Linked DNA regions of Coturnix japonica. The protein of the gene in region 1 interacts with the protein of each later gene in a biochemical or structural test. Links are inferred from orthologs where the notes say so. Each region holds a gene or a part of one and is shown on either strand. Other genes may lie near its edges.

Region 1 (5,926 bases):
CTCAACTGGTAGATCACATCTTGAGAAACACGGCAGTAGTTTTTCTGGTGCACTAAGAAGCCTAAGGGAGATGTATCAGATCTCAGGACACCTCCTCCCACTGCTTAGTTACAGACTAATCAAAAAGGTTAAAGTGGTGTTTTATTTGTTCAAAAATAAAGTATAAAAACGTCATGTGAAAGAGACGTAGGCAATGCAAGAAGACCTTATCAGCTCAGAGCACTGCAGCAGAATCACCAAACGTGAAGTAACTAACAGAAAACTGTGATTTATGTGGTGAGTTAAAGACCTGTTTGTGAGGTTCTCTTCTTTGGTTGTGGTTTGGTTTTTCATTTAGTTGGTTTTTTGCTATTGCTGTAGTTATTATTCCGGTTCTGTATGCCAATGCTGCTTAGCCACTAAGAATACAGAAAGGTAGGAAAGGAAAAGGGAGACCAAGACCAGAAGTGCAGTCTTGTGTTGTAGATGAAATTATAGCTGAAGGCCAAGGTGATTCTGGCATCACCAAGTTCCTCTTTCGCATTTGGCCAGAAAGGGATATGACAAGTCTCCAGGATGTTACGTAGTGAAAATAGTCTGTAACAGGCTGTGCTCTATCACAGAATCACAGAATCACAGGATGACCCGAGTTGGAAGGGACCTCAAGGATCATGTAGTTCCAACCCCCCTGCCTGGCAGGGCCACCAAACACACACATTTACTAGATCAGGTTGCCCAGGGCCCCGTCCTGTTGCAGAACGGCGGGAGAAAAGCAGACAACCACACCTGTCATTGACATATGATCAGCTATTCTCGTTTATTCCTTGGCTGCGTGTACCTTTATAATACAGATAATTAGCTCATACATATTGCAAAAGCGGAGCTCATCATTGGTTCCCAATTACATACCATCCCCGAGTATCTTTGCAGCTTGTTGTTATCATCCTGAAAGTTACTCCCTTGCCGAGTTCACAAAACCATGGTTAGTTTCTCACCATCCCAGGGCATCCTGTTGATCTCACTGTCCTTGCAGGTGGCATGGCTGCTTGATTAACTGCACCGTGTTTACGACCCTTCTCAGCTAGCTGTAAAAAACACTCTCTACACCGTCCAACCTGGTCTTGAACACCTCCAAGGACGGGGCATCCACAACCTCCCTGGGCAGCCTGTTCCAGGGCCTAACCACTCTCCTAGTTATTTATCTGGACTAAGAATCCCATCGAAACAAGAAACAGAACACGTTTTGTTTTCAGAATAAGTTCTTCATGTCTTTCCTTACTTTCAAGTAATCTAACAGCATCTCAAAGCATTTCATATTTAATTTTATACAATATGGTCCAATACCAGGGCTATTACACTGGAGTTATATGGTCACAAAGTCTTTGTCATACTACTCTTCAGCTACACAACACCAGCAGTAATCTTTTTTTTTTTTTTTTTTTCCCCCAAAGAACACAATTAGGACAGCCTACACTAACAATGCTGTGCTTCAGAAGTGGAAGAAATAACTTTGCTGGAAGAAGTGCTCAAGTTCAGAGCTTCTGCCAGCACAGCTGTCAACTAGCAGTCACTTCGTTTCACATCCCTGTACAGACAATCATGCACACACACACAGTATCACAGTCTCATGCAGTTTGGAAGGGACCTTAGAGATCATCGAGTCCAACCCCCGGGATTCAAACCTCCTGTGTAGCAGAGCGGCACTTCTACCACTTGCGCCCGGTGTGCCCATGTTGTGCTGCCTACACTAAGTATGTCAGCATAGCTTGAATTAACAGGAAGACAACTGGAGCCTCTGTGCAGTGAGATTTATCCATCTGTAATAATGTACACTGGATATCCTGAACAAACTGTAGACATTTGCACTCTGCTTGCAGCGCTGCACTACATAACCAGAACAGCATCGCTGTGTGTAATAGCCTGAAATTAGAACACACTTCACTCCTGACATGCTCGTATTAAAAGTAACAGGAAACGCTAATGGCTTTTAAAGTTCACATCTTCTGACTGAGTTGATGTTTTCAGAGTTCAGAACACAAATCTGATGATCAAGGAGCCCCAGCGCCACAAGTTTTCCAGCTGCCACCAATCAAACTTTGCTGTCGAATACAAATTGTGGAATGAATAAGTATGCTTATGTGTGCTGCATAAAAAAGAATGAACCAGCAATAGAGATAATGTGTCTGAGAGAATACCTAAAGCTACCACACGAACACTTAACACAGACTGTGATCAACAAATGCAGTGCAGAAAGAGCTCAGTGTTCCCTTGCCTAAAAGTCAGCATCTCAGCTCTGCTCTGCTGGTTTAATGTACCAAGCTCGTAGTTAAAGACAAAAGTAAGGTTGCAGAGAGCAAAAGAAATGGTCTGGCTCATGACATAAATATTCTTGATCTATGTAGTACCAAAGTAAGGAGCTAATTTGATGGCTTCTGCAGTTCAGTAGAACAGCCCAAACTTACTGATTCTTCCAGTTTTTCTGAGTATTTCATACAGGGAGGAAGTTCTACATGCAACACATTACATGCTTCCCCACAGTGAGAGTTTGTTCTCACTATAAAACCTCACGTTAGCTCGATCCTGCTCCCCACATGCTAACAGCCACCTCCACAGCAACAAGGTTCATTGCCCTTCCAGTCGAGTGTGTCTGTACCCCAGTTTTCCACCTGTTACACAGTTTTAGAAGTTAGTGCCATGTAAGTAAAACAGCATGTAGAAAGGCTCGTACGAGTTAACCTTTAGCTGATGAATGTGCTCTGTGATTAGGTCATATCGTTTTGAATGCTCATTTAGTTACGTACTTTGGCACACACTCACTGTACTTACTCTAGGGCAGGTTCTCAGTACAGCGCTCTCTCACCATAAGAAGCCTCCACAAGAACCCTACAAAACAACGAGCCCAGTCCAGCTCAGCCCTCTTTATCCTCAGGATAAAGGCTACACCACACAGTCCCTCGCTCATCTCCAACACAGCTTTTCTTAATCCACTTGAAAGCCTTAGGAACCAACCCGGAACACCTCACTAAGTTTAGAAACACAAGCGAGCTGAGCATTCACATGAGCTCACACATCTTCCTTTTGACACTTGGACAACACGGCCTAAAGGTCTGGGGGCCCAGACAACGAAGATCACACCGGACCGAGAGCGTATTCTCCATGCTAACGGGTCAGGCTGCCTCGAGGCGAGGACGAAGCCGAGTCTGCCGGCACACAGCCTGACAGGAAACCACACTCCGCTCTCCCTTCCCTCCGCCCCGTACCTTGGCTCGCTGGTCCCAGCTGTACTGCGGCGCCTTCTCCTCGCCGGCCGCCGGCTCCTGGCTGGCTCCTTGCTGCTGCCCGCCCTGCGCCGGCTTCCTGCGCTTGGAGAAGAAGCAGCCCATGGCGGCACCACCGCCTCCCCGGCAACCGAAAACCGCCTCGCGTCCACTGGAACCGCCCGACCCGGCCCGGCCCAGCCCGACCCGCGGGGAGAGGCCGTGCGGGACCCAGCGCCAGCGCAGCGCCTCACCGCCCCGCCCCGCTTCCGCCTGCACCGCCCGCCTTCGTCTCCCGTAGCGACCGCGACAACTGGAGGCCCGGAGAGGCGGGGAGATTTGTGCGGACAAAGTCGTGTTTTACGTGAGACTACCGTCATTCTGAGACGTTTTGTCCCGATTTTAACGGAACAGAATATCCCAAGGTGGAAGCGACCCACGAGGATCACCTACTTCAACCCCTGGCCTCACACAGGACCACCCAAAATTCAAACCCTGTATTGGGTTTGAGGGAGAAATCTTAGCAATTGCCATCACGCTCAAAGTAAACTTGATTTAGGGAAAGCTGTAAAAGCAGCAGGGAAGTGTTCTTAATCGAGCTCAGCACGCCCAGGCCAGCAGAAAAGAGGAAGCAGACCCACAGGCCAGAAGTATCACAGAATCACAGAATGACCCGGGTTGGAAGGGACCTCAAGGATCACGTAGTTCCAACCCCCCTGCCTGGCAGGGCCACCAAACATACACATTTACTAGATCAGGTTGCCCAGGGCCCCGTCCAACCTGGCCTTGAACACCTCCAAGGACGGGGCATCCACAACCTCCCTGGGCAGCCTGTTCCAGGGCCTAACCACTCTCCTAGTGAAGAACTTCCCCCTAACATCCAACCTAAATCTTCCCTCTTTTAACTTAAAACCATTTCCCGGTGTCCTGCTATTGTCAGCCCTTTTGAAGAGTTTACTCCCCTCCTGGGAGTAAGTTCCCTTCAGCCTTTCAATACCTGAAGGGAACTTACTCCCAGGAGGGGAGTAAACTCTTTGAAAGGGCTGAAATAGCTGCTAAGGCAAGGGGTGACTGATGCCCATTTTCCACCCTATCATGATACATATCCTTGTCTTGCAAAATCATCAGTACCACAAGAAATCAGGGTTTTATACGGCTACAGCAGATTGGGACAGGTCTTAGTTTTTTATCTCCAAACCTTCAGGCTGTTTCCTGACACCAAAGCACCAGGATATTTCTTCCAGACCAATTTAATATGGCTTATGAGCACATGACTTCTTCAGAAATTGCAAATGCCTGGCTCAGTTCTTCGTTCCCCATTCATATGCCAGGCAGACTCAACCCTCTTGGCCTGTGAGATTTGATATGATTGTAGCCTGAAGTGTAGTAATATAAGATTGCAGTAACACCGCAGTCACTACCAAGCATTATTATACTTACTTTAATTTCAACAAACTGCTGTAATTAGTGACTTCCCTCCTGGGGATGTTATGAAATACACCTAATTACACTGTAATACGGAGCTTTCTGATCCCCAGCTAGCAATTTCTAGGTAACTGAAAAATAAGACATTTTCATTGTAGAGGTTATGTCATAAAAGATTTGGTGCAGCAGCTTGGCATATCCATGCCTTTTGTGCCAGCTTCCATCCCTGCACAGCTTCGCAGTGCAGAGATCCCAACTTCTTCCCTTTCTTTTTTCTGACACTCCCATGTATCACCTCAAGGTACAGGGAAGGGGCTTATCCTCAGCAAATACTGGAAGCTGGAAGCTTGCCCAGGTCTTAAACAGGTAGTGAAGGAAGCGAAAGCTCGCAGCGTGCCCATCTGCACTCCTCGTAACACTGGGCAGAGTCTGGCTCTCTGCACTGCTGGCAGCTCACCACAACACGCAGAGCCAAACTTGCACAATCTCCTTGTGTTCTGTGTGCATGTTCTTAAAGCTCTTGGGATCGTATCGTTGTGAAAAATCTGCAGAATGTCTTGTTTAAAGCAGCTTTTACATCCTGCTGGTTATAGAGAAGTCGAAAACTTCTCCTGTAAGACATGAAGATTAGGAAGACTGTGAAAACAAAAAGACTTCAATACTACTGTTCCCTAAAATCTCAGCTCATGTTTTCCCTACCAGGAAGCATTACAGATCCCATACCTGAGATACTGGCAGCTTAGCTAATCTGTGTTTTGTAAAGGATTCCTAGTTAAGATTAGATTTGTTCATACTCGTGTGAAATGGTGAATTACAGGTGAGACAAATAACACACAACAGCAAACTGACCCACTGCAACAAGGAAAAGCACAAACAGGAAAGCTGAACAGTTCATATCTTCAAAATCTTTAGTTCCAAAAAACATTCTTGGTGTTCCCAACCTTTGCAGCTGAAAGGGGTTGCAGTTTATTTAAGGGCTGCTCATGTTCTGACTGCCCTTACTCAAACAGAGCAAATTAAGTTTTCAGCTGCAAAGCACATTCTTATTCTGCAATTATCATTTCATAGATCTTACACAAGAGCCTAGATCCTAGATCCCTTTTTGTGATAGGAAGAGAGCTGCCACAGCCTGAGTGTTGCCTAACATACATTTTGCCAGAGAAGCTTGCGTCCCACCTGAACACTGAGCTGGGACAGGCAGGACTCTCTAGTTTGATGTTCGATGCAAATGCAATGAAACAACAATAAAATTTAAGAACAGTATG
Region 2 (6,015 bases), on another chromosome or scaffold:
CCTCTGTGCCTCCCCTACAACCGTGGGAGAAACTTCACCCAACACCCACAAAGCGGCCCACGATTCTCTTGCTAATTCTGCCTCTGCCACACCTACAGTCCTCCAGGAGGTTCTGGCAGTGAAGGGGCCAAGTTCAAACCTGCCTCGAATTCACTCTCCTCCTATCGCTCTGTTATCTCTCACCACGGAGGGGGAACGTCTCCTTGTTCTGCGCCCCAAGCACAGCACAGCCCTGCTCACCACCGACTTTCAGCAAGCAATGCAGCAGCAGTTCACCATTTCTAAATAGATGAAGGCAGTGGGGACAAGCGGTGCTTGGGGAAGGACAAGAGGTTTTGCTGAGCCCAATCTCCTGCTTTCAGCAGTGGATGTTTGAGGCTCCATTGGCAGTTCAGAGTGTGGATCTGCACATACGGAGCTGGAGGAGGGGAGCGGGCCTGACAACTGCGCTGATTAGCTGGTGCCCTGAAGAATGACGTTTGATTACCTTTATCTTCGGCTGCAGAACTGCAAATGTCACTAATGGTCATAAAATCACCCAGCCTTTTTCAAAACACAACCGAAGTAAATTAATCTATTGAGCACGGTTTATTCAATACTTCTTACTCTGGCAGAACTCCCAACGAAATCATTTGCTTGCTGCATGTCTCCACCATATGGTGTCATTCAATGCAGACTTTCTTTTCTGTGCTGAAATCCCACATTTATTGGAGCCGAGTCACCTACAGAGCTCTTCCAGCTCAAACCTACTAACACAGTTTTCTGTCAAAGAGGTCACACGGCACTCGCTCTCTCGGTGCATTAACCAACACCAGCATGAGTTCTCCTTTCATAATTAAAATCAAACTCCTCTGCTCTTTGCAGACTTCAAGGAAGCGCTCTGCCCTGTGCAGGGCATTGCTGATGCCTGCCGCTTTGTCTCCCCTTCAGCAGTGCAGTACTTGGAAACCTCCTCCAGTTGTTGGTATGCTGCACTCCCTGCACATCGTTTCCCATAAAGCTATCGCACAACCAGTAAATAAATGAAAGATGTGTGACGTGCAGCTCTGCTAGGAAACTGGAGCAGCAGAGCACTGCTATAGCTTTGGAAAATGGTTTGTTTTAATGGGGTCGGTTGGGTACAGCCTCCATGTCAGACAAGGGGCAAAAGGAAAATTCTGAGCAGTACAGGCAGCAACACTTGCTGCTTTTGTTACAACTGGGAGCTCGAGGCCAGGAGGAAGATGTCTGACTACACGTTTTGCTATGTCGGTCCTTCATTCTCTGACCAAGATCTGCCTGGTGTCATCCAACCGCTCCGTGACTCAGTTTCCTTGGCTGCACAGTGGGGCCATGCATTGACAGGCCTGGATTGATGCAGCAGTGTCATCTTCAGTCAACAGCTTTAGAAGAACTCAGGTCGTCCCCCAGCCCTGCTACCCATCAGCAACAACCATCTCACTTGGTGTAGACAAGCAGGACGCAAGCTCTGCTTCACACAGCACTTCCACAACTCTTGAAGGCTGCTCACCCTTTCATGTAACATCTCCCTTCACTCTTGCTGTGAGCCCAGCACACGTGCTGCTCAACCGAGCCAAAGCCTTCAGCGCCACGCATCTCTCATGCTATGCATTTTTATGGCTCATCTTTCCCTCTGTGCTCCACCTACGACCTTCCAGCACCCCTGCCTCACAGCTGTGAGAAATGCTGGTATGCTCTGCAGAACAAGACACTTCCCCTCTGCGCTTACTCGGATGAGCAGTGAAATAATTTAAACGTCAGCATTAACCATCTTACCACTGGAATGGGAGCAAGCAGAACTGCTGCCCAGCCCAGCCAGTCCTTTACCCACACCATTTGAGAGGCTACAACTCCAAGAACTCTCAGAAATGAAAAATAGACTAGGAAGCATTAAAATGCTGTAGCAAATAGCACAAGCACTGGAAAACACCCAGTCCACCCTCCCCGTGCACAAAGCGCTCACATAACAACAGCCAGATCCCAGACTACACCAGTTTATCAGGACATCACAAAGCAGAAGAGCAGATTTGGCTGGTAGCAGCTGCAGGCCAAATGTGTCCCACAAAGCTGCTGGAGGCAGCTGCCTTCATCTCCACAGCAGATGTCCATCCTGTGATGGCTTTGGTGCCTGGTGTGACAAGCTCCATCATCGCCTGATCTAAAATACAGCAGGTCTCACAGTCTTTATCTCAATCTCTTTCTCTGTGGCACGGCAGGTGGGGATGCAGCCAGCATCAACTCAGCAAAGATGAGGAGCTGCCTTTGCTGTTCTCACTTATGCCTCCTCCTGTGCTTTAATACAGCTTGAATCCAGGGGGCTCCTGGACAAAACACAACTTTGCCCTACAGAAGCTCTTTCCCACATGACCATTTCCTTCAGCCTGGGCTCTCTGCACATGCTGTACCCCAGCTGCAGCTCCCCAGCCACCCCTCTGCTGATCCCCACTCATCCTTTCCTGACAGTCCTTGACGGATTCCACCAGCATCTCCCATCCCACCCCAACTACTGCAGCATCCAGCACCCAAGTCTATCACTCAGCCCCACCCTAACCTGATACAGGCAACATTTCACCCTCACCACACATCTGTCTCCCAGCGATGCCCTCTGTCCTTACCAGACCCTTCACAGTGAGGCTCCAATTCCTCTCAGTGAACACTGCTCCCCGTCAAATACTTTGTTTCCACACTTGAGCATTCCTTTCCCTTCTGGTTCGTCTCTTTCTCTCACTAGCACCAAAGTTCCTCTACTCCTTCCCACAATGAGTTCTTCTCTCTTCAGCCTGTGCTGTCCCCATTTCCTCAGCCCATGGCAGAAAACCCAAGAGCACTCAAATCCCAGCAACCCATCCTAGCCAGCCAACAGTGACTGGCACGGTACAGTGATCCCCCAAACTGGTCATCCCACCCTGGTCTCTCCCAGTCCCTGGGCAGTGTCTCAGCCCAAACACCCAGCTCCTTCACCCAGGCTTCTTTGCCAAGACTGAGCTCCCCTTTTAAGGCTATTTATCAACAGCCCTTCCAACTCTGCATGCCCTCCTGGAGCTCCCTCAACTTCTGCAGCCCCCAGGAACCAGCACAGGACGGATGGGTTGGAACGGATCTTAAAGCTCACCCAGGGCCCCATCCAAGCTGGCCTTGAATTCCTCCAGGGATGGGGAAACCTTCTCTGGGAAGGCCACACTGAAGCCATACTGAACAGCCGAGTTCTCCAGGCCGAACACGCGCAGCCCCTCAGCCTGTCTCCATAGGAGAAGTGCTCCATCCCTCTGAGCATCCTCGTGCTCCACTCCAACATCCCATGTCTTGTGCTGTGGCCATCACCACCACCATCACCACCACCACCACCACCCCCCCTTCCCCCTGGTTGCCCTGTCCATGGTCCTTCCCCGGTCACAGCTCCCCCAGCACTCGGTGCTCGGTCGCTGCCCCCATCACTGCCGTGTCCCTTCAGCCCATCCTCCCTTCCATCTCCCCTCGGGCCAACGGTGCCTCTGCGGCTCCGCTTCCCCCCGACCCCACGCATCCCCCCACGCCCCGACCGTCGGGCCGGACGCCCCAAGGGCCGAGCGATCTCCTCCGACCCGACCCACGCGGCCCGTCCCTGCCCACCCAGTCTCCCCCGTCTCCCCCATGTCCCCGATCTCCCCCCGTTCCCCCCCATGTCCCCGGTTTCCCTCCAGGCCCGGCCCGCCGCCCCCGCCCCGCTCACCATCCTCTACGCGGCAGCGGGGTTACCATGGGCAACTGCGTCACACACACGCCGCCGCTACGTCGCACGTCACCGCTTCCCGCCGGACGTACGGAGCGCGCGCGCGGGGCCCGCGGGAGGGGGCGGGGCCAATCGTAGCCACGCCCCCATCCTGAGAGCACGCGGCAGGTGGGCGCGGCCTCTCGGCTCGCTCTGATTGGCTGAGGGCGGCCACGCGGCGCGCCAAAAGTTTGGGTGCCGCGCAGGTAGGGACACGTGGGGTGGGGGCGCGGGTTGAGTGGGGACTGCGCGATGCGATGCATTGCAATGAACGTCACCGGGTGGCTGTGCAGCTCCACGGGTGTGCAGTCAGCAGCCTTGAAGGGGGGGGGAATGCGGCTTAGCACCGTTGGAAGCGTGCATGCCGTGGGGTGTGTGCGGTTATCAGTGTGCAGTGCAGGAGGCCGGCGGCAGCAGCGCCTCGGGTCGCTGAAAGTCCAAGCCAGCTGTTAAATATAAACCCGCAGCAGTTGACTCGGTGCAGCGCTCCGCAGCAGCACGGCGCTATCCCAAAATGGCTGCTGTGCCCCTCGGCTTCGACATCGATGCCCCGCGCTGGGATCAGAGCACCTTCATGGGGCGGCTGCGGCACTTCTTCAACATCACCGACCCGCGCACTGTGCTGGTGCCGGAGGGGGAGCTGGACCGGGCGCAGGCCGTGGTGGCAGGATGCAGGTGAGCACACAGCTGTGGTGCTGGGGCTGTGCCTGGCACCTGCCCGAGCGCTGGTGCAGCATCTGAGCACCCTGATGGAGCTGTAGATGTATCTGTTTGTAGCAGGAGAGTTGGGCTAGATGACTTTTAAGGGGCTCTTCCAACTCAAAAGATTCTATGATCCGTCAGAGGTGTTTTTGTGGGTGTTTATTGGGGTTTTGGGAGCCCTGAGCTATCGTGGCTGAGCTGCTGTGACTTCGGCCTTTCAGGGCCGGGATGGTGCCACCGGGGAGCAGCCAGGAGCAGCTGCTTTATGCCAAGAAACTGTACGACTCGGCTTTCCACCCTGACAGTGGTGAGAAGATGAACCTCATTGGCAGGATGTCCTTCCAGGTGCCGGGTGGCATGGCCCTCACTGGCTGCATGCTGCAGTTCTACCGGTGAGAGCTGGGGACACAAGTTGGGACACAGCCTGGATGGCCCTCAGCTCCTCTAGGGGCTCTAATGCTATGGGCTCAGGAGTGGGTTGCTCTCACACACCTCTGTCCCCATGAGCTTGCTGCATGCATCACTGAGGGCCAGGTGGATCTCATTCTCATCCCAAACCCCTCAGGGCTATGCCTCCTCCTGTGCTGTCTGCAAGACCCTCTCATACACATTCATTTCCCAGCCCTGCCCCTGCTTCACTCCTTGACTTCAGGCTGCCGTGCCTCAGTTTCCCCCAGCAGACACCAGGACAAGGGTACAGAGGGCATCTTATCTGTTCCCTGATGGCACCTGGGTGCTCTGCGGGCCCTTTTCCCTCTGCAGGACAGTGCCAGCTGTGGTGTTCTGGCAGTGGGTGAACCAATCTTTCAACGCCATTGTCAACTATACCAACCGCAATGCTGCGTCCCCCATCTCTCTGGCGTAAGTGTGCCCCTGTGATGGGACACCTGGTGCCTGTGGGATGCACCAAAAAGACATTCAGGCACCAAAGGAAGAGGATCTCAGTGTCAAAGGCAGTGTTTTATTTTATATTTCCATGCATCTGTTGCAAATCACCAGGCAAATAGGAGTGGCTTACGTCACAGCCACCTCAACAGCCCTGGCCACTGCTGTGGGACTCAACCTCTACACCAAGGTACGTAGGGATGGGGTTGCAACAGCTCCTGGCCGCATCCCACCCCATGCTGATCCCATCCTTTGTCCTGCAGCGTGCTCCTCCCTTGCTTGCCCGCTGGGTCCCTTTTGCAGCCGTAGCTGCTGCCAACTGTGTGAACATCCCAATGATGAGGCAACAGTGAGTGCATCTGGGGTCTGCCTCTGCTCCCTGGCCCCAAGGGAGGATGGGAGAGGTGGGATGGGATCTGTGTGATCACTACCCTGCATCTGGGAGAGAGTGTCCCTGGTGGGGTGGCCCAGCATTGAACAAAGCAGGAGGGTGGTTTGGGGGTGAAGATATCCCTTTTGGAGTCTATGATGTCCTGGCGCTACAGGGGGGTTGTTGGAGCTGCAGAAGTCTTGGGGTGTTCCATGGGGTGGGGGTCCCTTGTGTCAGCCATACCCTGAAGGTGGCAGCATCAGCCCAGGGGTGGCACAGCCCAGGGCTGCTGCGTTGCTGTCCCCACAGG

The links. The genes of interacting proteins can lie anywhere in the genome.
Region 2: the proteins of RP2 (region 1) and ARL3 form a complex in vitro, tested with the Homo sapiens proteins (2 studies listed by BioGRID). The link is inferred for Coturnix japonica from reciprocal best matches to the Homo sapiens genes RP2 and ARL3.

Annotation. Positions count from the first base shown.
Region 1 is NC_029516.1:117,346,999-117,352,924, forward strand, and holds the start of RP2 (protein XRP2), read right to left. Parts: upstream 3,508-5,926; 5' UTR 3,363-3,507; coding exon 3,240-3,362; intron 1-3,239. UniProt on the Homo sapiens protein: Acts as a GTPase-activating protein (GAP) involved in trafficking between the Golgi and the ciliary membrane.
Region 2 is NC_029521.1:20,421,028-20,427,042, forward strand, and holds the start of ARL3 (ADP-ribosylation factor-like protein 3), read right to left. Parts: upstream 3,830-6,015; 5' UTR 3,713-3,829; coding exon 3,710-3,712; intron 1-3,709. Other genes in the region: SFXN2 (sideroflexin-2), read left to right, coding at 4,263-4,423, 4,672-4,842, 5,213-5,311, 5,450-5,525, 5,599-5,684, 6,015-6,015. UniProt on the Homo sapiens protein: Small GTP-binding protein which cycles between an inactive GDP-bound and an active GTP-bound form, and the rate of cycling is regulated by guanine nucleotide exchange factors (GEF) and GTPase-activating proteins (GAP).